3 linked regions of the Arabidopsis thaliana genome follow. The protein of the gene in region 1 interacts with the protein of each later gene in a pairwise test. Each region holds a gene or a part of one and is shown on either strand. Other genes may lie near its edges.

Region 1 (8,155 bases):
AGAGAAGAGCGTCAATTTCAAATAAAAAAGCAAACTCGGAAAACCAAAGGGACAAGAACAGAGGAGAACACAAAACCTAGAAAAATCTCTCCGAACGAACCACCGCCGATCTTCCGTCCGAGCTTGTACTTGCCGCCGATGATGCGTTCCATGGCAGCTCCAATCAGAACCGAATCTGGATCAAGCGCAAGGATAGAGATAAGGATTTAGGGTTGTTGTTTAGAAGATTGAAATTAGAGGAACTTAAAAACATATATTATTATTTTTGTTTGACTGACATCGGTGGTAGTGACATGGACCCAGGCTTGTTTGAGCCGTAGTAGTGATCCTTCAAAAAAAAATTTGTACACCTAACTACTGCACCATTTTGGGTCCGCCAATCTTTTTTTACCTTATAAACAAACACGAGGGTATTTACGTGATTTTGTAATGTCACGCTGGCACGGTGGATGATTTGATGATTTCCGTTTTTGGGGTCTGCAAAATGATGAAGGTTCGAAAATTTAATGGGTTGGCTGATTTTCGAGTCATAAACTATTTCGATTCTTAGTTTTCACTCCCGGATTTTTGGGCCCTTAAATTTCCACCATCAATTTTCATATTCCTCAAAATTACATCATCTACTTTCGAATTCATGATTAAACATACATTTTCAATTGAACCATTCATTTAACCGGGATTAACCACAAATCCGCGTTTACTGTACCGCGATTGTGATTAACCCGACTAATACCCAGACCCGTTAAGAAAACGACGTCGTTTTCATTCTTCTTCTTTAACTCTCAAATCGATTTGGTAGTCCTCTTCTTTTGACTTTCATCTCTGTCTCCATCGTCTTCTAGATTGACGTCTCCATCAGACGCTATGTCACCATCGTCTTCTCTATTTTCCTCTCCATCAGAAGCTCTGTCTCCATCTATCCCGACGTCCTCTCCCTCGATTCTGGTGGCTTCGTCCTCCTCGACTCCGCTATCACCACTATCACTTCCATCGTCGGCTTCAATGTCACTCTCTGGAGGTTCGAAATCGGGGTCATCTGGATCGCTTTGGTAAATCAATCTTTCCTCCCACCAATTCTTCATTTCTCCCTATTCGAAACCCAAATCGAGACCCAAAAATTCGAACCGAAGAAGAAAACCCCAAATCCCCTTTTGTCTTTCTCTCTCAAGAACCCTAATTTCACAGTGTCGAGATTAAAGAAGAACGACTAAATCGATTTGAGAGTTAAAGAAGAAGAATGAAAACGACGTCGTTTTCTTTCTCTTTTTGATGAGTTAAACGAAATGAAAACGACGTCGTTTTCTTAACGGGTCTGGGTATTAGTTGGGTTAATCGCAATCGCGGTACAGTAAACGCGGATTTGTGGTTAATCCCGGTTAAATGAATGGTTCAATTGGAAATGTATGTTTAAGCATGAATCCAAAAATAGATGATGTAATTTTGGGAATATGAAAGTTGATGGTGGAAATTTAAAGGCCCAAAAGTCCGGGTGTGAAAGCTGAGAATCGAAATAGTTTATGGCTCGAAAATCAGCCAACCCAAATTTAATCCACTAACTAGTTCTCTACCAAATCGATCAATTCTAGGTGTTTGTATTTCAATATTGAGACTACAATTTTATACGTTTTTTTTTTTTAATAATAGCAATTGAAAATGCATGTTTGGATCAAGTCAAGCTTTTTGATATAATTTTTTTCAATGCACAAAATCGAGTAAGAAAAATCAAACACAGAATACCATTAAACTGAATAGGAAATTCAGAGAAAAAAAAAGGGGGAAGTGTTTCTCGGAGCATTCCAGAAGCTAGCCATAGCTTATCCTTTTACGTTCTCGTCAGCTGCACATTAGCTTGATGGTGACATGTCCCTGCCACAAGCAACTCTTGACTCAAGCCTTTGAAGGCATCTCTGCTGAAGCTGCTCATGCTTTGCTCTTGATTTTCTGCAAACAATGTTGATGACACAGCAAACCCAGGTTATGCCCCAACACAGGGAACTACGTACAGAAATACGAACAAAGTTTTATAGAAGAAAACTTGGGAGAATGAATCACAAGAACCAAATTACACGCCCGGTTGCAAGATTTTATACAAAGGTTGAAGTCAGTCATTTGTGAGAATCTTGAAGGAAAGCAAACATAATCTTCATGCCTTTTGTCAAACAGTAAGCTGTTCATGGAAAAACTCCATTCAGATCTTCAACCTCAGTCTAGAGCTTTTCACTGCAGAAATCACAGTTTAGACCCAAAGGCACACATAATCTTGCTCAGCAGATCAGATGAATGATATACTCCAACTTTTTTTGCATCATTTCCCCGGTGACATGAATGGTGAAGTCCAACCGCCGGTTTTATTCCCGCTCCCAAACCCAGAATTTGAGGTTTCGGGTCTGACATTTCTTTTTGAGGTACCCGCAGGAGATAATGAAGTGGATGATGGCATGTTCATCTGCAATGGGTTTTCAGTAAAATAATGGTCAAGAGCATATTTCGTGATGATCAGTATCGTGTTTTAATCATTTATGCTATATGTAGTTCATATCACAATATAGAGCTCGTTGATGACAATTGACCATGCAAAACAGGTAAAAGCTTTAAGCAGAGAACCATGCAGAACTCTGAAGCAACACAGATGCAGGCATGAGATGCTAACACAAGGGGGAGGGTTGCAGGATACAACATTTATTTGGAAGAGGCAAATGAATAAGCACGTACATTCTTGTGGACTTGATCAAAACCCAGACTCCTCCCTACAGCGGTATTAATCTGTGGGCTTGGACCACTGGCATTAGCCGGTCTGACACGGTCAGAGACTTGGGCTTCATGTGAAATCTTAGTTCCTCCTGCCAAACGGAGAGTTAGCATCAAGATATTGAAATAAACAGTTGCAACGGGAAACTAAATCAGCCAAACACTCTATGCCAGTTGAGTCCAGTGTGAAAGTCGAGAGAAAACAAAAAACACATCATATACTATTACAAAATTAATCAGAAAGTGACACAATTAAAATTTATAACTCGAGCTGACCTCGATGATTGCTTGTGTCCATTGGTATTGCACGAGCATTACTAGACCCAGGAACGGCCTGCAGCATGACAGTTTATTGTTAGGAAGACAGGCATATCTATATTTAGCACCAAAACTAAAAAATAGCAAAACCAAGTAAAACTTCTCCCCAGGAAATCTTCTCTATGAACAAGACAAAATATGCATACACCTGGAGAAAAAAAAATAACAAATGGTATTGATAAACTATACCTGAGACTGACTTCTAGTTTTCTGTGATTGCTGATACTTTATAATAGTCCAGTCATATATATAGTCAAACTCATATCCTGCAAAGAAGAAAACGTTTAAGTGAGCTAGGTAGATAACTGATGCTAGCAGAGAGGATTATAAAAATGATGGAGGGATGTCTTTCTCAAAGTACCTTCCCGTGAGAATAAATCACGAAAAAGCCGCTTCAAGAATCCATAATCAGGGCGTTGATCAAATGTCAGTGTGTGGCAATAATGAAAATATGAAGCAAACTCCACGGGGTGGCTTTTGCATAGAACCTACAAAGGATGGGATATTATTCAGTTGAATGAGGATTAACAAAAAACAATTCACTCACACAGTAGAGGGAAATAGACCTCAATAGGAGTTGATATCTTCTTCTCACAAATTTTGTCATACTTTTGCTTCTTGTCAACAGCCTTAAGACCCTGCCATGGAAGGCTAGAAAAGGAGGTTCATTAAAATAGGAACAAAATGTAAAGCAAGAAAACGGTTAAGTAAATCTCAAACAAGGAAAAACAATACCCTGCCAAAAACACAATGTTAACTAGGTTCTTTCAAGTCAAAAAGTCAACACACCTTCCTCTTAAGAAGTACAGAAGCACATATCCAAGAGACTCTAGGTCATCCCGTCTACCTTGCTCTGCGAAAGAGAAATCGAAATATGTGAGCAAAAACTTTACTTCACAAAGGGGAGAAAAAAGTGGCAGCATTCCTTACCAATACCAAGATGTGTATTGCAACTTGCATATCGTGCAGTTCCTGTTAAATTCTTGTTTTCCCTGAATACAACCAAATAAAAGGTAATAAGTTGTATAATGTGACCTTAAAAACTTATAACAGATAAGATAATTTACCACCTCCAGATGGTAGACACAATATAATGAACCATGGCCACAAATACCTATAAGGGATGTGGCGGTTGGTGTTGGCATCACGATATCTTTTGGCCAGTCCAAAGTCAATTAGATAAACCTGATTCGCTTTGCGGCCTAGGCCCATGAGAAAGTTATCTGGTTTTATATCTCTATGCAGATATCCTTTGGAATGTACATATTCTATTCTAGTTAGCTGTAAAATCGGAATAAGAAAATCATAAGCACATTAGATGATAAATGTATAACTCAAGAGAAATGATTAGTATTTAAACAGAACCAGACGCAATAAATGTGATTAAAACTCATGCCATACCATTTGATCAGCCAACATCAAGACCGTCTTTGGTGAAAATTTTCTCCCACAGTAGACGAAAAGATCTTCGAGACTTGGACCGAGCAAATCCATCACTAAAGCATTCTCTGTTCCATCAACTCCAAACCATCTTATGCGCGGAATTCCACCTGCAAAATGAGCATTGTACTGATAATCAATCCCTCCAATGACCAACAACGACAGAATGGGAAAAGATAGGAATGAGAAACATACTTCCTCCTTCAAGAGTTCTATATAGCTTAGCTTCATAGAGAAGCTGAGGATGTTTTGTTTTACTGTTCTCCTGCAAAACAATCCAAATGATCTGAGTTAAAGACAAATTGTCAGCTAAAAAGTACCATTTCAAGGAGCTTGACTGATAAATTTAGAGTTAATCAATTCAAAGAACCACACGAAACAATGAACATGATACAAAATTCCCAGAGTAGATTCGTTTAATAGCTGATTCAATTGAAACTTACGATCTTAACAGCTACAATCTCGAAGGTATCGATGTGCGTAGCTGCGAAATCAACAAACAAGGTACGTCAATTTCAAACCAAAGAAGAAGAACAAAACTCGAGAATCAACGAGAACACACCTAGGAAAATCTCTCCAAAGGAACCACCGCCAATCTTCCGTCCGAGCTTGTACTTGCCGCCGATGATACGTTCCATGGCAGCTCCGATCACAACCGAATCTGGATCATGCGCAAGGGATAGAGATATCAATTTAGGGCTTTTTTACTTCGTTGAATTTGAGAGTTGAAATTTGCGAATAGATGAGACAATAGGGGCATTAACGTAAATTGTATGGTATAGTAAGGCTAAGAAAATTTGTGTGTCGGTGACGTGGACTGAAATTTAGTTGCCACGTAGGACCGGTGGAGTTTCTAATCCACTAGTTCTAAAGTCAACGCAATGTGTCTAAATATGGATAATTTTGGGGATAATTTTGTATTGGATTTTGTCTCTTTTTACTAGGGTTTTAGCTTTTGAATTTGTTTTTTTTTGTATAGGATTTTAACAAAGAAAAAATGGAAAAAAAAAAACTTCTTCTTCTTCATCATGATTGCTCATTCGAGTTATCAATGAATCAAAGACACACAAAAATCCTCACAAAAACAATTCAGAAAAATAAATTATTAAAAAAAATAATGAAAAACGAATTTACAGTCCGTCCCCATTAACCTCGACCGCGGTGCTATGATTGCCGGAGCCTCTCCTCGTTCCGCCCGCTGGCCGGAAACTTGAATTAGAATTGCTTCTTCGAGCATTCCGGAGGCATAACACCTTTAAATCTGTTAGTGTCCTTGCAATAATCATAGATCATGAAACCATCTCTTATCTTTTGCATCTTCGTCAGCTGCGAAGCAGTGAGCTGACTAAATGATGGTGATGTCCACCAATTAGACCGTATAGTTGGATCTACACATTGCTTGATGCTGACTGATCCCTTCCACAAACAAGCTCTTGCCTTGTACCTACGACCCTCGGCCACAAATGGTGCTAGCGTCCAGTTAGTCTTCACTCGACCTCCTTGTGTTGCCCAGTCTTCTGCGTTCCATAGACTCGCAAACACTTTCATACCTTGCTTGTTCGGGTATGCGATTCCTTCACTTTCGTAGTTTCTAAAAACTCTGATCGGAGTTCCATCGACGAACCACCTATATAAGATATACAACATGGTGTGCGACACGTTTATTTATAGAAAGGAAATAAAAACATATAATCGTTTGAGATTCCTAAAGTTTTTTTGGTTTGAAGGTTCGAAAACATTAAGGAACTAAAAGAAAAATTCATCATGAAGTGTTTGTACTTTAATGTTGTTTTACAGTAACAAACTAAACTATCTAAGTAACATTTAATCTTACTTAAGTTTTTTTGATGTGGTATTTCATTGATAGAAAGTACCATTTCTTAGCATTTGTTTGGAGTTTTTATAAAGTACTTAAGAAACCGCCATAGCCATAAGTTAATTACTTACACAACTTCGGATGGGTTCCAATGGATGGTATAGTTGTGGAAACCATTGGTCGGGTTGAACCATGGCCGGAATTGTTGTTCGCGGTTTCCTTTCCCTTGAGCATATAAGTTGGTGTGGATCGTGTACGGCTGACCAGTCGCATTTCCTAGGAACTCGAAGTCTATCTCATCGTGTGTACTTCCCGTAGACGATAACTACAAAGAAAAATCTGAAAACATTAATCTAATTTTTCTATATATAAAAGAATTGCGTATTGATTCTATTTTTTTTTATTTTTTTTGTAATTCTATCGATCGAGTTCAAAAGAAAATTTTACGTAATAGGCTGCAACGGTTCCAGCAGAATTCCCTGGCACAAGTTTGATGAGCATTTCTACGCTTCCAAACAAATGAGCCACCTTTGATTTAATAGCAGATCCTGCAAAAACAAACAAAAACATAAAAACAGTTATACATGTTTATCTATCAAGTTTCTCATGAAATAATAGACTAAAATTAAATGGACTGATTTTAAAGTTATTGTGTTATAAGATTACTATATACCTGCAGATTTGTCTAGGACAAGTCGAAGGTTGGTACCATTCATGAACATGTGATCTTTACCCCATGTAACAATAAAATTCTTACTGAAGTCTGCCTCCACAAATGTGCGACCAAGAGTCGCTAAGGCAGCTGCCAGAACGAACATTAACGTCTTCGCTTGAAGACCCGCCATCTTACGAATTTGATTTGTGTTTGGAATGTTTTGGATTGGAACTCTATTCGATCACCATTTGTTTGTCAGTAAGGCTTTCTTTATATATAACTTCTAAGAAATCGAAATTTTGACGTAGTCCAAAAAGTATAGAGTTTTGACAATTGACGTGCATCTAATGAACTTTGTATGCATGAATTAGACAACATAACAATTAAAGAACTAACTTCTTTAATATAAAGAAAATGCTATCCTGGAAAGGTACTATGAATATGTATGTTTCTTAGTTTCCAATCACCAACATGTGTTTGATAAATAAATATTAGATAGAAAAAAAAAAAAAAACTAAAATATAAGAAGATGGACACTGTTAGCTGGCTCACGCGGTTGTGGTAGAGGCCGAGGAATATACGTGGGGAAGACTCCACAAATAAATGGGGTCGATGAACTTGTCAACTTCTCCTCTTCCAAATCAGAAATTTTACCAATAGTAACTTCGTTTGTCATCAATCTGTTTTATTACTCTATTGTTCCTTACGATTTCCATATTTTTAATCAGGTATTTTCGTCTCGTTGCATACTGCATAGGGCTTAGATAAAAAAAATCCGTTACATTGTTTTAGGATTTCATGAAAAAAATTTAATAAATCATGCTTAACCAAAAAATAAATTTTGATACATTTTGGTTTTACTTTTAGATAGATTATATTTAATTTGGTTTGTTTTCGTTCACATAACAGAGATTGGACACTCATGAAGTGGTGAAACATTGTAAACAACGATTCTCCATTTAGATTAGTTTATAAAGTTCGTTCTAAAAGTGCAAGACATCATTAAAACGTGTTTTAAGGTTTTTTTATTTAATGATTTAAGCAAGGAAATCCAGTGATCAGTCAAGAATAACTTTCGGTGGGTGTTGAAATATTCTTGTATATTATATTCACAATAAATCTGGATCAATGGTAAATAGACAAACATTGTACGAGAAAAAGTTTGATAATGAGTAAAA
Region 2 (9,183 bases), on another chromosome or scaffold:
CCAACGTTACTCTACACCGCAAATGATCCGAGCACCCTCCTGCTTCAAAAGTGCCATAAGCCGCAGGAAATTTACGATTCCATTCTTCATTAACAAGAACTCTGTCCAACTTTTTATTTATTATCCCCTCTTCTCTCTTGTTTGACCAAGTAAACACCGGACCATGATAGCTCATATCAGCTAGAGAGCAGTCTCTAACGACTTCTTGGAAATCTCGCATACCCTGCGGAATAAAAGGTGAAGTAACAAAATTTGAATGCTCCTCCCCCTCCAGAATTTCATTAAAATCACCAAGAATCATCCAACTTTTGGTACGGAACATTGGCATATTGTAATGATTTCTCAAGTCTTCCCAAAGTTCCCGCCTCTCATCCACATAGTTTGAAGCATAGATAAAAGAAACCAAAAATTCCTCTGCATTCTCTTCAGTCAAAACAGAGCAAGTAATCATTTGTCCACTTTTATAAACCGGAGTGACACGAACCGAACTCTTCCAAATAACCCAAATTCGTCCCAAACGATGGTGTTCATAGTTAGTCATAGAAGACCACCCAGGAAATACCTTAGAAATGATCTTGCTAGCACTAGTTTCATCCACCCTCGTTTCTAATAAACCCCCAAAAGTTAAAGACTCCTTTCTCACCCAATCACGAACAACGGAATGTTTATTTGATTTGTTAAAACCGCGCACATTCCAGAAGAACCCCGACATTTAATGATGTTTTTTGGAGTTTCTTCTGCTCGAATTGCTGGAGACATTGTCTCTAGCTTTTTGAGTAAAAGACTCCGAAAGGACTTTGTGTGAACTCTTGGAGGAGCGAGGAAGATTTACTCTCACCGCTCCTGCTTTCTCTTTATCCGAAGTGGAATTCTTTTCGATCGCTTGAGTAGAGACAACGTCATCAATAGAGTTCGTTCGCTCCGTCTCAATGACTTCCTCTGAGGAGATTGTGGGGAACTCATCTTTATCCCCATTCTCCTCCTGATCACTCAGGACAGAGTACCGAGAAGAGGATAAAATTGTTGCTTGGCCAAAAGTTAATGGTTTCCCATTTGACTTTTCTGTACTTTTGCTTCCTTTACCTGGGGAGACTATGGACCAACCATCTCCTTCCGACTGAGATTCTGGTGGTACCACCTTCTCTGCTACCACTTGTTGTTCAAAAACCTCCTGAGAAATCAAAATCGAGTTCTGAATCCCATCCTCTTTATTCCCACTATTAGCTGACTCATGGTCAGCAACTCTCACTGTGGTAGCAGAAGCAGAAGGATCCGCTAAAACTTCACCTTCTTCTAGCTCACTTTCTATCACCAGCGCTGGAGGCTTGAGCTTACTCACACAAACATCCACTAGGTGACCCCACTTACTACAACAAGTGCATTTGGGAGGCAACCAGGGGTAAATAAACTCCACGATAACATCTTTTTCCTCCTCAATTTTGAACCTGTGACACTTTGGAACGTCTTGCGAAAGATTTACTTCAACAAAAACTTTAGCTTCATCAAACTTTGTGCATAATTCTGTTTCAGGATGTAACCGTATTGGATTTCCTACTGAACTTGTAATAAAACTCAAACCATCCCAGGAGAACATGGAATGAGGAACATTCTTCACTGTGACCCACAACGGCATTGTTTTAATCTCTGGCTGGGCTTCTTCTTTAATCGGAGACCACTTGGCAACAATCATTGGTAAACCAGCAATGTTCCACATCCCTCTTCTGACTATTCTCGAACGCGTGGCGGAGTCACGGATTCGAAACTTTACTGAAGTAGAGTCTATCTCATAGACGTCAATCTTAATTGCTTTGTCCCCAAGAGTCCAGATCTTATTGACTATGACATGGATCTTAGCGACATGCGGAGCTTGTGATGGGAACCGTCCCACCAGAAAATCATCCCAGAGAGGGACAGATTCAGTGATAACTTCTTTCGGAACTGCAATGGTTGGGACACCGTCTTGCACAGAGACTTCATATTCATCTTTTTTCAGAGAAGGCCGTTTAGTAACTACTGCTGCATAGGACTTTTGCTGGACAGATCCAGATGGAGAACCAACTGTTCCTGCCTCAGAAGAGACTGGTAAAACCTGGTCGGACATGAGAAACCGACGGCAAGCCGCCGCTGAAACCCTAGCTTGCTGAAAAAGAATGAAAACCCTAGTCGCCAAGAAAATCGCCCTAGAGCTGACGTGTCATTAAAAAAAAAAAACATCATTCTTATAGTAGAAACATTTGATTGTTCTGTGGTAACTGGTAACGACTAAGTGATATGGTTTACTAGATCTTGCAAACAAATCTAATTGATCATGAGAAAAAATTGTAAGACTAGATCGATTATTTTAGTGGTCTAACAACTAGTTTCAAAGTTGTAATTTTCAAGATTGTTTATTACATTTAGTACATGTTTGAAGTGAAACAATATATCTCAATGTAAGTACATGATTCTCTTTACTACTTTGAATCTATCACAGAAGTTAGTGCAGACACCCGATTCGCTATGATTGTTAAGATCATAAAGTGACCTAGATCGATGAGCATCAATGTTTTTTTTTTTCTTTTGCCAATAAGCATCAATGTTTTCTTGACGAGCAATTGTCATTTTATTTCAAGAAGCGGAATCTGTTTTATGAAAGTGTTTATTGTTTACGATATAGAATCGAAGCGTTTGGAGGGCCAAAAGAAGTAGGAGAGGCAATAGTAAGAACAGTGACAGGATCTGGTCAACGAGCAGATTTGAAAGGAACTTTGCTAGAATCAAGTATCAGACAAGATTCAGAGAGAAACTTGAAGTACTACGAGTTGGAGTTTAAAGTCGAATCACCTCTTTTCCGGCGGCATAATGTAGCCGTTTGTTGCGCTCACAGTGGCCGGCTTTATACACTGAACGCTCAAGCGCCAGAGTCAGCTTGGTCAGAGGTGAAATCGGAAATTTACACTACTGCGAAATCGTTCAATATAATTTCTTGAATGTAAAGGATCGGAAAACAAATTGTAAAAACCCAAAAAGAAACAAGATACTACAAAGCAAAGCTTATTTTTTCTTCATATTGATAGGGTCTCTTTGTTTTTCTTAATTAATTCACACTATTGAGTTGATTACGATGATTAAGGTCAAAAATACGAAGTGACAATAAAAAGAGAAAAGTTTCGAGCATAATCATGTCTTCTTGATCGTGCCGCTCGCTATATAAACACTGCACCAAGCAATTACTATAATTTTTGATCAATTAAATATTAAATTTTGAGAATATGTTTCTATATTAATGAAAATAATTTAAAGTAATCATAAGTTTGTATCTTTGAACAAACGAAACTAGAAAACGCCTATCTCTGCTCATTGGCTTCTCCATCTCCGATCAAATCCGCGGTCGTAGTCAGAGAGAGAGACAAATGGCTATGCCTAGGGCAACCTCTGGTCCCGCTTACCCGGAGAGGTTCTACGCTGCTGCATCTTATGTCGGTCTCGACGGATCTGATTCGTCGGCGAAAAACGTCATCTCGAAATTCCCCGATGATACTGCACTACTTCTCTATGCGCTATACCAGCAGGTCAGCAACTTCCATTTCTGATCTCTTCCATTGTTGATCTCACGATTGTGGATTTTGCTTTTGAATTTCACGAGATCTGGTCGTTTGGGTGTTGATTTCTTTGTTTTAGTCACCGATTCATATTCCTCTCGCCGAATTCTTATCGGATTTTAGAAATGACGCACTTTACTTGTCTGATTAGCTGTGCTTGATCGTTATTTTCGATCCTGGTTAGTATATTCGAAATGCTCAGTAAAATGTTACCCGAGATCTCATCACGATTTGATTGGAAACATGATTGAAACAGTTTTATTTTATTAGATCTCAGGGAGCGTTGGTCCGTCAGTCGTAGTTTACTTGGATCTACATTGATTCTATAACTTGATTAGTATAGTCGTAGATGAATTTCTTACGAGGGGGTGAAACTGGCTGTTCCTTAACATAGAGAGAAACGTTCTCTTGTACTAATTATAATGTCGAGTCTACTAGTTTTTATCCCTGGGATAGATAGGCTCAGTGCTGATGATCTCTTGGATTTAACATTGAAACAGGCTACTGTAGGACCATGCAACACTCCGAAACCTAGTGCCTGGAGACCAGTGGAGCAAAGCAAATGGAAAAGGTTAGATTGGGTGCTGTGTTTTGCCCATACTTATCTACGATTAACATTTATGCATTTATCACTGGTTCTTTTATTTCTATTCTTGCGTTTGTGAATCATACTTGTAGGAATATGCTTCATGGTAGATATTAATAGGAGATGTCTTAGATTTCATCAATTACTAGAGCGTAAGAATCCAAATGCATTAGGGAAACGGGAAAGGAGTACTTTAGTGTAAGCTACTAGAGGAAAATAGAAATGCAGGATTTGAATGTGCATCCCTGGGGAAAAAAACTAAGTGCTTACCTATGTTTTGGACCTTTTGGTCTACATTACTGAGGTTGTTAATGCTTACGATCCTTTTTAAAGGAAAATAAGACTTTAAAGTTGTCCTCGTTCCTTTCCTGAAAGATACACATGCTACTGTTCTGAAGCATTTCATATTTACTTAGTTGGCAGGGGCTCGGAACCATGCCCTCCATTGAGGCAATGCGTCTCTTTGTGAAAATTCTGGAGGTAACCGACAAAGAGGTCTATTTTTTTTTTTTTTTTAAAGACTTAACTGGAGCATAACCTTGCTTTCTTCTCTATTGCTCAATTTTTATCAGGAAGATGATCCTGGTTGGTATTCGAGGGCATCTAATGATATTCCAGATCCTGTTGTAGATGTCCAAATTAATGTAAGTTTTGGTATCCCATGGGATTCGATGTCCAAACCATGGGAACTATTACACATATCTTTTGCTTGATTGAAGAAAATTATTTGAGTTTTTTAGTGCATTCATCTTTGTAGCAGAGAGCAAAAGATGAGCCTGTTGTTGAGAATGGGAGCACATTTAGTGAGACAAAAACAATTTCTACGGAGAATGGACGTTTGGCTGAAACCCAAGATAAAGATGTAGTCTCAGAAGACTCAAATACTGTTTCTGTATATAACCAGTGGACTGCACCCCAAACATCAGGTCAGCGTCCAAAAGCTCGTTACGAGGTAATTTATTTTTTCTCTCTCTTTTGAAGAATAAGTAAAAGGTTATGTCATTCATGTATCTTCTGTATTTTTCTAAGTCTTGTTTATTATATTTTTTTCAGCATGGCGCAGCAGTTATTCAAGATAAGATGTATATATATGGTGGAAATCACAATGGCCGTTACCTTGGTGATCTTCATGTAAGCAACCTCTATGGTTTATAAGCATAAGCTCCTAATGTAATTGAGATATTCAGCTCCTAGCTTGACAATACCAGTCCCGGTGACAGTTCCTAAGCAAAGCTTCTGTGGAATGTATACAGGTTCTAGATTTAAAAAGTTGGACTTGGTCAAGAGTTGAAACCAAGGTTGCAACAGAATCTCAGGAAACATCAACTCCGACATTGTTAGCTCCTTGTGCTGGTCATTCTTTGGTAAGTTTATTAACTTTTTCGTTTTGTTTTTGTTATTATCGTTTTGCTTTCCTGCCCAGAAATATTCAGGAGAGGGGTTTCAGCTAAAGCAAAGTATTCTCTTCATGAAAGTCACTTGCTATATTAGTTTGTAATAAAGAAGACTCTAGCTATACATTATTCACTTACCTTCTTTGCTTGTTTTGTAGATAGCATGGGACAACAAGCTGCTGTCTATCGGTGGTCACACAAAGGATCCCTCAGAATCTATGCAAGGTTAGCGTTTATATACCTTTGAAGACGATAATTTGCACATATTTATAAGATTTTTCTGGAATCTCAATGATTACATATCACTTTCTACTGTTTCCTGTCACAGTGAAGGTCTTTGATCCCCATACCATTACATGGTCAATGTTAAAGACATATGGAAAACCACCGGTATATCTTCACTTCTCTCATGTTGTCTCATTTGCTTTCCTGTCACCTTTGTATGAAAATATTACAGTTTTATACAAAAAAAAATTTGGCCGTCAAAAGACAAAAAAATAAAAGTTGTTTTCTTTCCTTACCCTCCCATAATATCTTCAGGGTTAAGGTGCATCTAAATCCAGAATTTCTCCTTGCTAATTTGGAAGTCAAATATGCATTTTGGTTACTTAAATTTAGACTTTCTTATAATTATCTCTTGCTTTTAGGTTTCACGTGGAGGCCAGTCAGTTACAATGGTGGGTAAAACCTTGGTGATATTTGGCGGGCAAGATGCAAAGAGATCACTTCTGAACGATTTGCATATACTTGACCTAGACACGATGACCTGGGATGAGATAGATGCCGTGTAAGATTTTATGATGTTTCTGCATTTTGTTCTCTTTCGAAGAAGTCAAACCCATTTAAGATTAGATATATAACCAGAATATGAATATGTTAGAAATCGACCTCCTATCTCCTTTAGTATCTTAGTCGTTATTGAAAGATTAGCAATTCAGGATTTAAATTGGTGTCAAATTGCAGGGGTGTATCTCCATCTCCGAGGTCTGATCATGCTGCTGCAGTGCATGCAGAACGGTTCCTTCTTATCTTTGGTGGCGGCTCACATGCAACCTGTTTCGATGACCTGCATGTCCTTGATTTGCAAACTGTAAGTTAAGCTAAGAGTCTATTCTTTCAGCTGCTCTCAAACATGCTTTGTCAGCCTCTGATATAATTGTCACATATAGATGGAGTGGTCAAGACCAGCACAGCAAGGTGATGCACCAACTCCAAGAGCTGGACATGCTGGCGTGACAATTGGGGAGAACTGGTTTATTGTTGGTGGCGGTGATAACAAGAGTGGTATGTTAATGCACTTTTCCCTTGGAAATTTTCTCTTCCCAACCGTTCTGTTTATCACCCCCTAGAACAAAAGATATTTGCTTGGGTTTTTTTTTTTGTGTGTGTGGGGTGACTAATTTTGTGACAAATTACTGCAGGGGCATCGGAGAGTGTTGTACTAAACATGTCAACTCTTGCATGGTCGGTCGTTGCTTCAGTTCAAGGACGTGTACCTCTTGCTAGCGAGGTACTTAAATAAACAGACTTTATCCATATTAATTCCCAGATAGCTATACAAATAAACACGGTAGAAGCCTTTTCAAGACTTCGAAAAAAGTCAAGTCATGCTTATTTCATTTCCATCGTCCTTTCCTTTGCTACTGACAGGGATTAAGTTTAGTGGTGAGTTCATACAATGGTGAAGATGTACTAGTCGCTTTTGGTGGATACAATGGACGTTACAATAACGAAGTAGGGACTGTGATCTGAACCCATAAGTTCATTTCTCTTAATTTTTCATTTAGTTCTGCTTCTAATTCTTATCTGGCATTAGATTAATCTTCTTAAACCAAGCCACAAATCAACATTGCAAACAAAGACTCTGGAAGCGCCTTTGCCAGGTAGTCTTTCTGCTGTTAATAATGCCACAACCAGAGACATTGAGTCTGAGGTTGAGGTGAGCCAAGAAGGCAGGGTACGGGAAATTGTCATGGACAATGTTAACCCTGGATCAAAGGTATCTTCTTGTCAAATTTCCCTCCTTAATATATTTTGCATAGCACCACCTTTTGATTTGTTTGAGAGAATTGAAGCATCTTATGCATATATGCTGTGGTAGTGATTGTGTCGACACAGAATATAGTTACTCCAGTCCGGATCATCACCTTCTCGCACTCTTATTATGTTTTGGGTGATTAATCCCCAGGTTGAAGGAAACAGCGAACGCATTATTGCGACTATTAAATCTGAGAAGGAAGAGCTGGAGGCATCACTGAACAAAGAGAGGATGCAGACTCTCCAACTAAGGCAAGAGTTAGGAGAAGCAGAATTACGAAACACAGATTTGTACAAGGTACTAATATTATCACCTTCTTAAAACAGAAGCCGACATGAATAAATTGGTGAACCAATCGTTCATAAAGACTGGTTGCAGCAGTCTTCCAATTGCATTCACATTTAACATCTGAAATCTCGGAATTTTTCCTCGAATATGATATACCTAACTTTGTACTGACATTTTGTAGGAACTTCAATCTGTTCGTGGCCAACTTGCAGCCGAACAATCAAGGTGTTTCAAACTGGAGGTACTAAACCGTAGCCACATCTCTTTTGTACCATAACCTACAGAATTTGGAATCTCGTGAAACCCGTGATTTAATGACTACATATACTCATATTCCAGGATGAATAGGAATCTTGATTAGAACATTCATCCATTGTAACCACTGGATCTATCACATATCTTCTCTGTCATTTATTGATAAGCTTCATCACGTCATAAGAACAAAAACAAAGCAAATCTAATTGGGTCACTTTCTCCGAATCTGCAGGTTGATGTTGCAGAGCTAAGACAAAAGCTTCAAACATTGGAAACACTACAGAAGGAACTCGAACTCCTGCAACGTCAAAAGGCTGCCTCAGAACAAGCTGCAATGAACGCTAAACGACAGGGCTCGGGTGGCGTATGGGGCTGGCTCGCTGGAAGCCCTCAGGAAAAAGATGATGATTCGCCTTGATCATTTTTGGTCCGGTAATGCCATTTTCCTCCGGACGATATTTGCTTTCAGTAAAGAAATATATATAGTTTTTTTTGTCTGAGTCTCTCGCATTGTTTCTTCTTCCAATAAGATATTTTTTTAGCGAGCTTTGATTACTACCGATGTTTAGCTTTGTTCTCTGTTATACAAGTGATTCACCAGAATATTCGTTAACTTTTTTGAAATATTTGTTTTGGGAGTGTCTGACAAAATTATGAAAACTAAATCAGTTTACGATCAGCAATCATAATTTTCTTATATTTACGAGTCTCTTACTCTCTTCACTCTTTAGTCTTCGTTTGCATTAAAAATTAAATTAAATTTACCTCACTTCGTAAGTGGACAAAAAATCACGTTTTAGGCAGCAAAATAAAATAAAATAAAAAGATCACGTTTTTTTGTCCCATGACGTGGCAACCTATTACTGGATGGGAAGTTCGACCGTTCACCATCACCATTTATGACGCTGAGAAGTTACCAAAATGTCCTTCTCACCAAGTGATGCTTTTGTCATCTTCTCCAGCTTTACTCTCATGAAATTTCTTAAATTTTCTCTTCCAGCAAACAATCTCAGGATTTAAACAAAGTTACGCATCTTCTGG
Region 3 (5,523 bases), on another chromosome or scaffold:
GCCGTTTCTGCGCCGTAGATATCTTGTCCACCGCTCGTCTCAGAGACTTTTCGGATATACGGAGAGACGAAGTGAGAGCTATGATTCGGAAGATCAACGTGGAACTGGTAACATCAGGAGGCAGTGTCAGATTGAAACTCCAGCCGTTTCTTTATGGGCTTACGTATAACATCCTAATGAGCATGGTCGCTGGAAAACGAGAGGAAGACGAGGAAACTAAGGAAGTTCGGAAGCTGATTAGGGAGGTGTTCGATTTCGCTGGTGTTAATTATGTCGGAGATTTTCTCCCGACTCTGAAGCTCTTTGATCTTGATGGATACAGAAAGAGAGCAAAGAAACTCGCTTCGAAATTGGACAAGTTTATGCAGAAATTAGTCGACGAGCATCGGAAAAACAGAGGAAAAGCAGAGCTTGAGAAAACGATGATCACTCGTTTGCTGTCTCTTCAAGAATCAGAACCTGAATGTTACACTGATGATATCATCAAAGGGCTCGTACAGGTACATGAGTTTTTAATTCCTATAATTTTGAATCGTTAATAGGAGTGATCAAGATTGATTCATCAAAGATTCAAAGGATTCATTGCAGGTGATGTTGCTTGCTGGAACGGACACAACCGCAGTGACGTTGGAGTGGGCTATGGCTAACCTTCTAAATCATCCGGAAGTTTTAAGGAAACTCAAAACGGAACTAAACGAGGTTTCGAAAGAAGGGCGTGTGTTTGAGGAATCAGATACTGGCAAGTGTCCCTATCTCAACAATGTGATCTCTGAGACTCTTCGTTTGTTTCCGGCGGCGCCCTTACTTGTCCCACACGCTTCATCCACTGACTGTGAAGTCGCTGGATTTGACATTCCACGTCGCACCTGGCTATTTATCAATGCGTGGGCTATTCAGAGAGACCCAAATGTATGGGATGACCCAGAAACTTTCAAACCAGAGAGGTTTGAATCAGAGACCCATCGTGGTAAGTTTCTGCCTTTCGGAATCGGTAGGAGAGCATGTCCTGGTATGGGCCTGGCCCAACTAGTACTGAGCTTAGCTTTAGGCTCATTGATCCAGTGTTTCGATTGGGAGAGAGACAATGACGTTGCCGTTGACATGTCGGAAGGAAAGGGTCTTACCATGCCCAAATCTGTGCCTTTAGTTGCCAAATGCAAGTCTTTACCAATCCTCGACAAACTTGTTCTTTAACTGGATCATTTATCTTTCACTTTGTGATACTTTGTGTATTAATTTGATCTATTATCATCATTAAGCGTAGTTATAAATAAAAATTTATTTTATTTTCCTGAATAGCTTAAGAGAAATTTGATCTTCGTCTTCGTCACTACGTCCCCAGCTCTCGAGCTTTGTTCACTCGATTTCCTCTATACATTTCCTTAAAACCCAAAATTCTTAAGCCTAATCCAAAGGAGAAAAAAACAGAGCATTTTTCTTCTTCTCCAATTTAAACAGTTTCCTAATAATCTCACTTTGTCTACTCGATTCTCCCAACTCCAATTTGACTCATCGGAATCATGCCATTATCAATGAATCCTCCGACGAATCCGCCACCATTGTTCCGTTGCATCTCCGTCATGTAACTCCTCACTTCCGCCTTAATCATCTCTTGCACCACCGCCATAAACTCGCCTCCGTTACCGGGAAAAGACTTCCCCATTTCCTCAATCGCACCTCTAAACCCACCACTAAACGGCATAAACGACACCGTATTGTTGTGGTTGTGGCGGCTCGAAGTGGTGTTGTTGATATTCGTTGACTCGTGGCTACGGTTTGACTCCTCGCTTACGTCGGCACCAGGAAGTGACAAGCTTAACGAAGTCGGTGGATCATCGGAAGAAGACGACGTTTCGATAGGAAGCGGTAGCACAACAGCACCAGGTCTAGGCACAGGCTTGAAAAGCTCAACGGAAGGTAATATCGGGATAGTACTTGAATCACTGACATCAGATCCAGTTGGGCTTCCTGGGCTCATGTAAAGCCCAGTAACAACAGGTGGAGATCCCGCACTCACCGATCTCTTAACCGGCCGATGATCCTCCGAACCATCGTAACCCCGATGGTCGTAACCGCCGCATTTCCTCTTGAGCGTCGAGTTCCAGTGATTCTTCACGGCGTTGTCCGTACGACCGTTGAGAAGACGAGCAATCGTCGCCCATTTATTACCGAACTGAGCGTGAGCACGTGCGATCGTCTCGTCTTCCTCAGCCGAAAACGGCCGATGCTCAACTTGCGGCGAAAGCTGGTTGCACCACCGTAAACGACACGATTTCCCCGATCTACCGGGAATAGATTTGCTAATCACTGTCCAGTTTCTTGGACCGTATTTAACAACAAGCCTACGAAGCTGCTCGTCTTCTTCAGGACTCCATGGACCTTTGATCCTATCAGCCATTGATTTTGGAATGTTTTATCAAACTTTAGCAATCTTCTCCTCTTTAGTGATTTTGGTTTTGAGAGATGAACCAAAAACAAGTTCGAGAAACTAAAGAGAGGACAAAATTATTTATACAGAGATTTAAGAGAGGAGGATAACCGGAAACCGGTTAAGACGGTGGAGAAGTCATGGGCAACGCTTCTTCCACGCAAGCGGTTTTTCAAAGTTTGCGGTACAGCTGTAAGTGGACACGCGTCGAAGCCTGACTACGTCGATGTGTCTTTTTTGTCGTTTTCGTAATAATTTTGTTCAAGATCAGCAATTTCGTATAGTTGAGCGTGGAGATCAGTCGAGTCTCAAAGTATGAGTTTGTGAGTACACGCGCCATTTAAGCGCGTGGCGAAAGTAAGAAGTTAAAGAGACAAAATCACGAAACCCAACTAGCAAAGCCATGATAATATTCGCACAATTTGAGGTGAATTTAAATTTTTTTATAGGGGAAATAAAAATGAAAAAGAAATATCTGAAGAAAAAAATAAAAAGATGATAACGGTTAGGTTTGGGTAAGGACAGTTTTTATTTATTTTTATGTTTAGTCTTGACTTTAGAATAGCGAAGCCAGGCTGTATAGCACTTCACATAAAAACTTTATGATAATATCTACTTTACATATAACCGATTTTCCGGGTTGAAAACTAATCAAAATTATTGACCACAAATTTCATTACTAATAAAGAAAACAAATTGTCACTAAGAAGGTATAATTAATTACTAAACAACACACAAACACCTAATTCATGCATATAACAGTGCATGACAAATTGACAATACTAAATCTATATATAGTTGCTCTATGATCATAAAAAGATCTAAACCTCAATAATTTGAAACGAAGCTGGATTAAAATGGGATTGACAAAGAACCGTGTGAGCGATATTAAGTGAATGTATAAAAATGGTTAGATATTAATGTTCGGTTTAGGAAACGTGATGTAAAATGTGCGGTTAACAAAAGATAGGAGGTTTTGACGTGGCAGAAAACGACAACATAGGTTGCCGAATTGGAACGCAAAATCATCACTGCCTTTGTTTCCTGAAATATATTTAATTATTATATCGAAAATACGAATAGAAACAGCCAGGCTGTATAAAACTTGTTAATCAAACAAAAACAATTAATAAAACACTAACTGTCATCCATTTAAGAACTGCCACGTGTCGGTCGTAAAACGCGGGTTTTTAAAAGCTCTTTGTTCTGGTATGTACGGTACGAATCAGGTCGGTAAACGTCAGGTAATGTTCATGCACGCTCCCTAACCTTCCCTCTAACGGTTCATAATTCTCCTTTTAATTAAACTATAGTATTGTTAGTTCTTAATAATTCAAGTTTTTACGTAACCCCACCAAACATTTGAATTTATACCTTTTGAGTTATATATCTACATTTTTGTCGATTTGTTGATAATCTATTAGACATCAGGAGTTTAATACTTTGAGTGAATTTGATAATTAATAATGCCAAGAGGTTATTGTGATGGGAACAATAAGCTCTAGATGTAACCTTGCGTAGTTATTATATTGGGTTTACGTGTTCGTTTGTGAGACTCAACTATACTACTATAACCTTGCTCGTTGTTTCTATTATCAATGGTCCGAGTGTCGGTTTTGGTCTCCTTGTTTTAAATATTTTATTGAAGTCGTTTTACAATTACCAACTTTTCCTTAAACCAAAAAATAGATCAATAATGGTTTTGATTGATGATATTGATGGTTGATTGACGGTGTCTTACTCACTCGAAGATTAGACAATTACCAAAACGATTTTATTCGTAGTCCACCAAAAAAACAAATCAACTGTGATCATTTTTCATATCTATTATAAATGACTACTATAGTATGACATTTTGAAAACATTTGTAACGAATAATCATCACAACATATAGTAAACTGAAAATATAACATGCAACAATCTAAAGAAAAAACCTAAAATACACAACGTACAGCCTCAATTATTGAAAATATTTTGTTTTCTGGTATGATAAATTTTGTGATTGAAACGACCACCGAGAAGTTCATATGAACATAGAAAACATTAAAGAAAACACCGTCCATATATTATTTTATTTAAGACACACCGTCCAAGATTACAACTGTATATTTTTGGACCAAAAAATCATTGCCCCTCTTGTGGAAAAGAGATAGTGGTGCAGAAAAAAAGGCACGTGGAACATGACCTAATTCGGCTAAATACAGTTTTAAAATTCAAAAACTTACGATAACCGGACAAAGATTTAACAGCTGTTTTCCAGTATGTCCACGTGTCCATGAATTATCCTTCCACGTGTAAGTTTGAGTGACGTGTCATGCTAATTATTCTTAACAAAGGCAAAACTACTCTTGTCTTGTTCCTCCTGTCGTGTAAGCTAGCAACTGTAATTTTGCTATTGGTCTACTAACGTGTTTAGATATTCTTCCACTTGCATTACCTTTTCTTTTTATTCGACATTATAGAATGTATTAATTGTTAACGGTTTAGGGAAACTACTTAATTATATGGTTTACAAACAAAAAAAAAACATAATGGTGTCAACAAAAAAAATCACAAAGGCAATAAATTAAAGAAAACAGGTGCATGTGGTTCGTTTACTTAGTTGCATAGAATAGAAAGATGCTGCTACAAAATATCCTTCCGTGTTCTCGCTTATCCTTAAGCCGTATGCACATTTTGTACCTTCACCTTCCACACGTGTGCATGTATATATCCACACGCACTACAAATCTGCATTAATGGTACGGTCATCGTTGAAACGACTACGTTCGGTGACCTTCGTGCTTAAGATAAATTTTGTTGGTCTTCTGATGTATATGCTTAAGCCACACACACCTAACACCTTCACTAAAGCTTGATTGAAAAGCGATTCTTTGTTGGACGACAAATAAAAAGTTACTCTTTTCTTCTTCTTTTTGTATGTGTGGAATCAAAACGTTTAATTTTTGTACCTACCAAGTACTATTTCATCTTATATGTTAGAACTTACCGATTTGTTGGATTTTTTAGAATTCTGATATCATATGATATTTCCAAAAAAACTTATTTAAAGATTTGCTTTATTTCGTCTTCAAATCTGAAATTTATCGTCAACT

What was found. Proteins that work in one complex are often made in the same cells at the same time.
Region 2: the proteins of ckl4 (region 1) and ACBP4 interact in binary tests that used the Arabidopsis thaliana proteins (3 or more experiments, as listed by UniProt).
Region 3: the proteins of ckl4 (region 1) and MYBR1 interact in binary tests that used the Arabidopsis thaliana proteins (3 or more experiments, as listed by UniProt).

The regions. Positions count from the first base shown.
Region 1 is NC_003075.7:14,243,348-14,251,502, reverse strand, and holds ckl4 (casein kinase I-like 4), read right to left. Parts: upstream 5,244-8,155; 5' UTR 5,145-5,243; coding exon 5,069-5,144; intron 4,991-5,068; coding exon 4,950-4,990; intron 4,772-4,949; coding exon 4,702-4,771; intron 4,617-4,701; coding exon 4,468-4,616; intron 4,348-4,467; coding exon 4,181-4,347; intron 4,059-4,180; coding exon 3,997-4,058; intron 3,920-3,996; coding exon 3,856-3,919; intron 3,718-3,855; coding exon 3,633-3,717; intron 3,555-3,632; coding exon 3,428-3,554; intron 3,333-3,427; coding exon 3,256-3,332; intron 3,083-3,255; coding exon 3,025-3,082; intron 2,841-3,024; coding exon 2,713-2,840; coding exon of another isoform or gene 2,680-2,712; exon of another isoform or gene 2,447-2,679; coding exon 2,306-2,446; 3' UTR 1,631-2,305; downstream 1-1,630. Other genes in the region: ckl3 (casein kinase I-like 3), read right to left, coding at 77-152; AT4G28870 (mutator transposase MUDRA protein), read right to left, coding at 783-1,082; XTH26 (xyloglucan endotransglucosylase/hydrolase 26), read right to left, coding at 5,722-6,133, 6,454-6,647, 6,770-6,870, 6,996-7,167.
Region 2 is NC_003074.8:1,558,488-1,567,670, forward strand, and holds ACBP4 (acyl-CoA binding protein 4), read left to right. Parts: upstream 1-3,183; 5' UTR 3,184-3,392; coding exon 3,393-3,551; intron 3,552-4,081; coding exon 4,082-4,152; intron 4,153-4,583; coding exon 4,584-4,647; intron 4,648-4,739; coding exon 4,740-4,811; intron 4,812-4,924; coding exon 4,925-5,119; intron 5,120-5,220; coding exon 5,221-5,298; intron 5,299-5,420; coding exon 5,421-5,531; intron 5,532-5,719; coding exon 5,720-5,786; intron 5,787-5,889; coding exon 5,890-5,951; intron 5,952-6,208; coding exon 6,209-6,348; intron 6,349-6,524; coding exon 6,525-6,651; intron 6,652-6,730; coding exon 6,731-6,845; intron 6,846-6,982; coding exon 6,983-7,071; intron 7,072-7,211; coding exon 7,212-7,295; intron 7,296-7,377; coding exon 7,378-7,560; intron 7,561-7,749; coding exon 7,750-7,896; intron 7,897-8,068; coding exon 8,069-8,128; intron 8,129-8,374; coding exon 8,375-8,560; 3' UTR 8,561-8,849; downstream 8,850-9,183. Other genes in the region: AT3G05410 (Photosystem II reaction center PsbP family protein), read left to right, coding at 2,657-2,969; AT3G05425 (uncharacterized protein), read left to right, coding at 8,987-9,118. UniProt on the Arabidopsis thaliana protein: Binds medium- and long-chain acyl-CoA esters with very high affinity. Can interact in vitro with oleoyl-CoA, barely with palmitoyl-CoA, but not with arachidonyl-CoA. May function as an intracellular carrier of acyl-CoA esters.
Region 3 is NC_003076.8:26,850,984-26,856,506, reverse strand, and holds MYBR1 (myb domain protein r1), read right to left. Parts: upstream 2,486-5,523; 5' UTR 2,399-2,485; coding exon 1,481-2,398; 3' UTR 1,195-1,480; coding exon of another isoform or gene 589-1,194; 3' UTR 501-588; downstream 1-500. Other genes in the region: CYP81G1 (cytochrome P450, family 81, subfamily G, polypeptide 1), read left to right, coding at 1-500, 589-1,194. UniProt on the Arabidopsis thaliana protein: Transcription factor. Represses the expression of protein phosphatases 2C in response to abscisic acid (ABA). Confers resistance to abiotic stresses dependent of ABA. In response to auxin, activates the transcription of the auxin-responsive gene IAA19.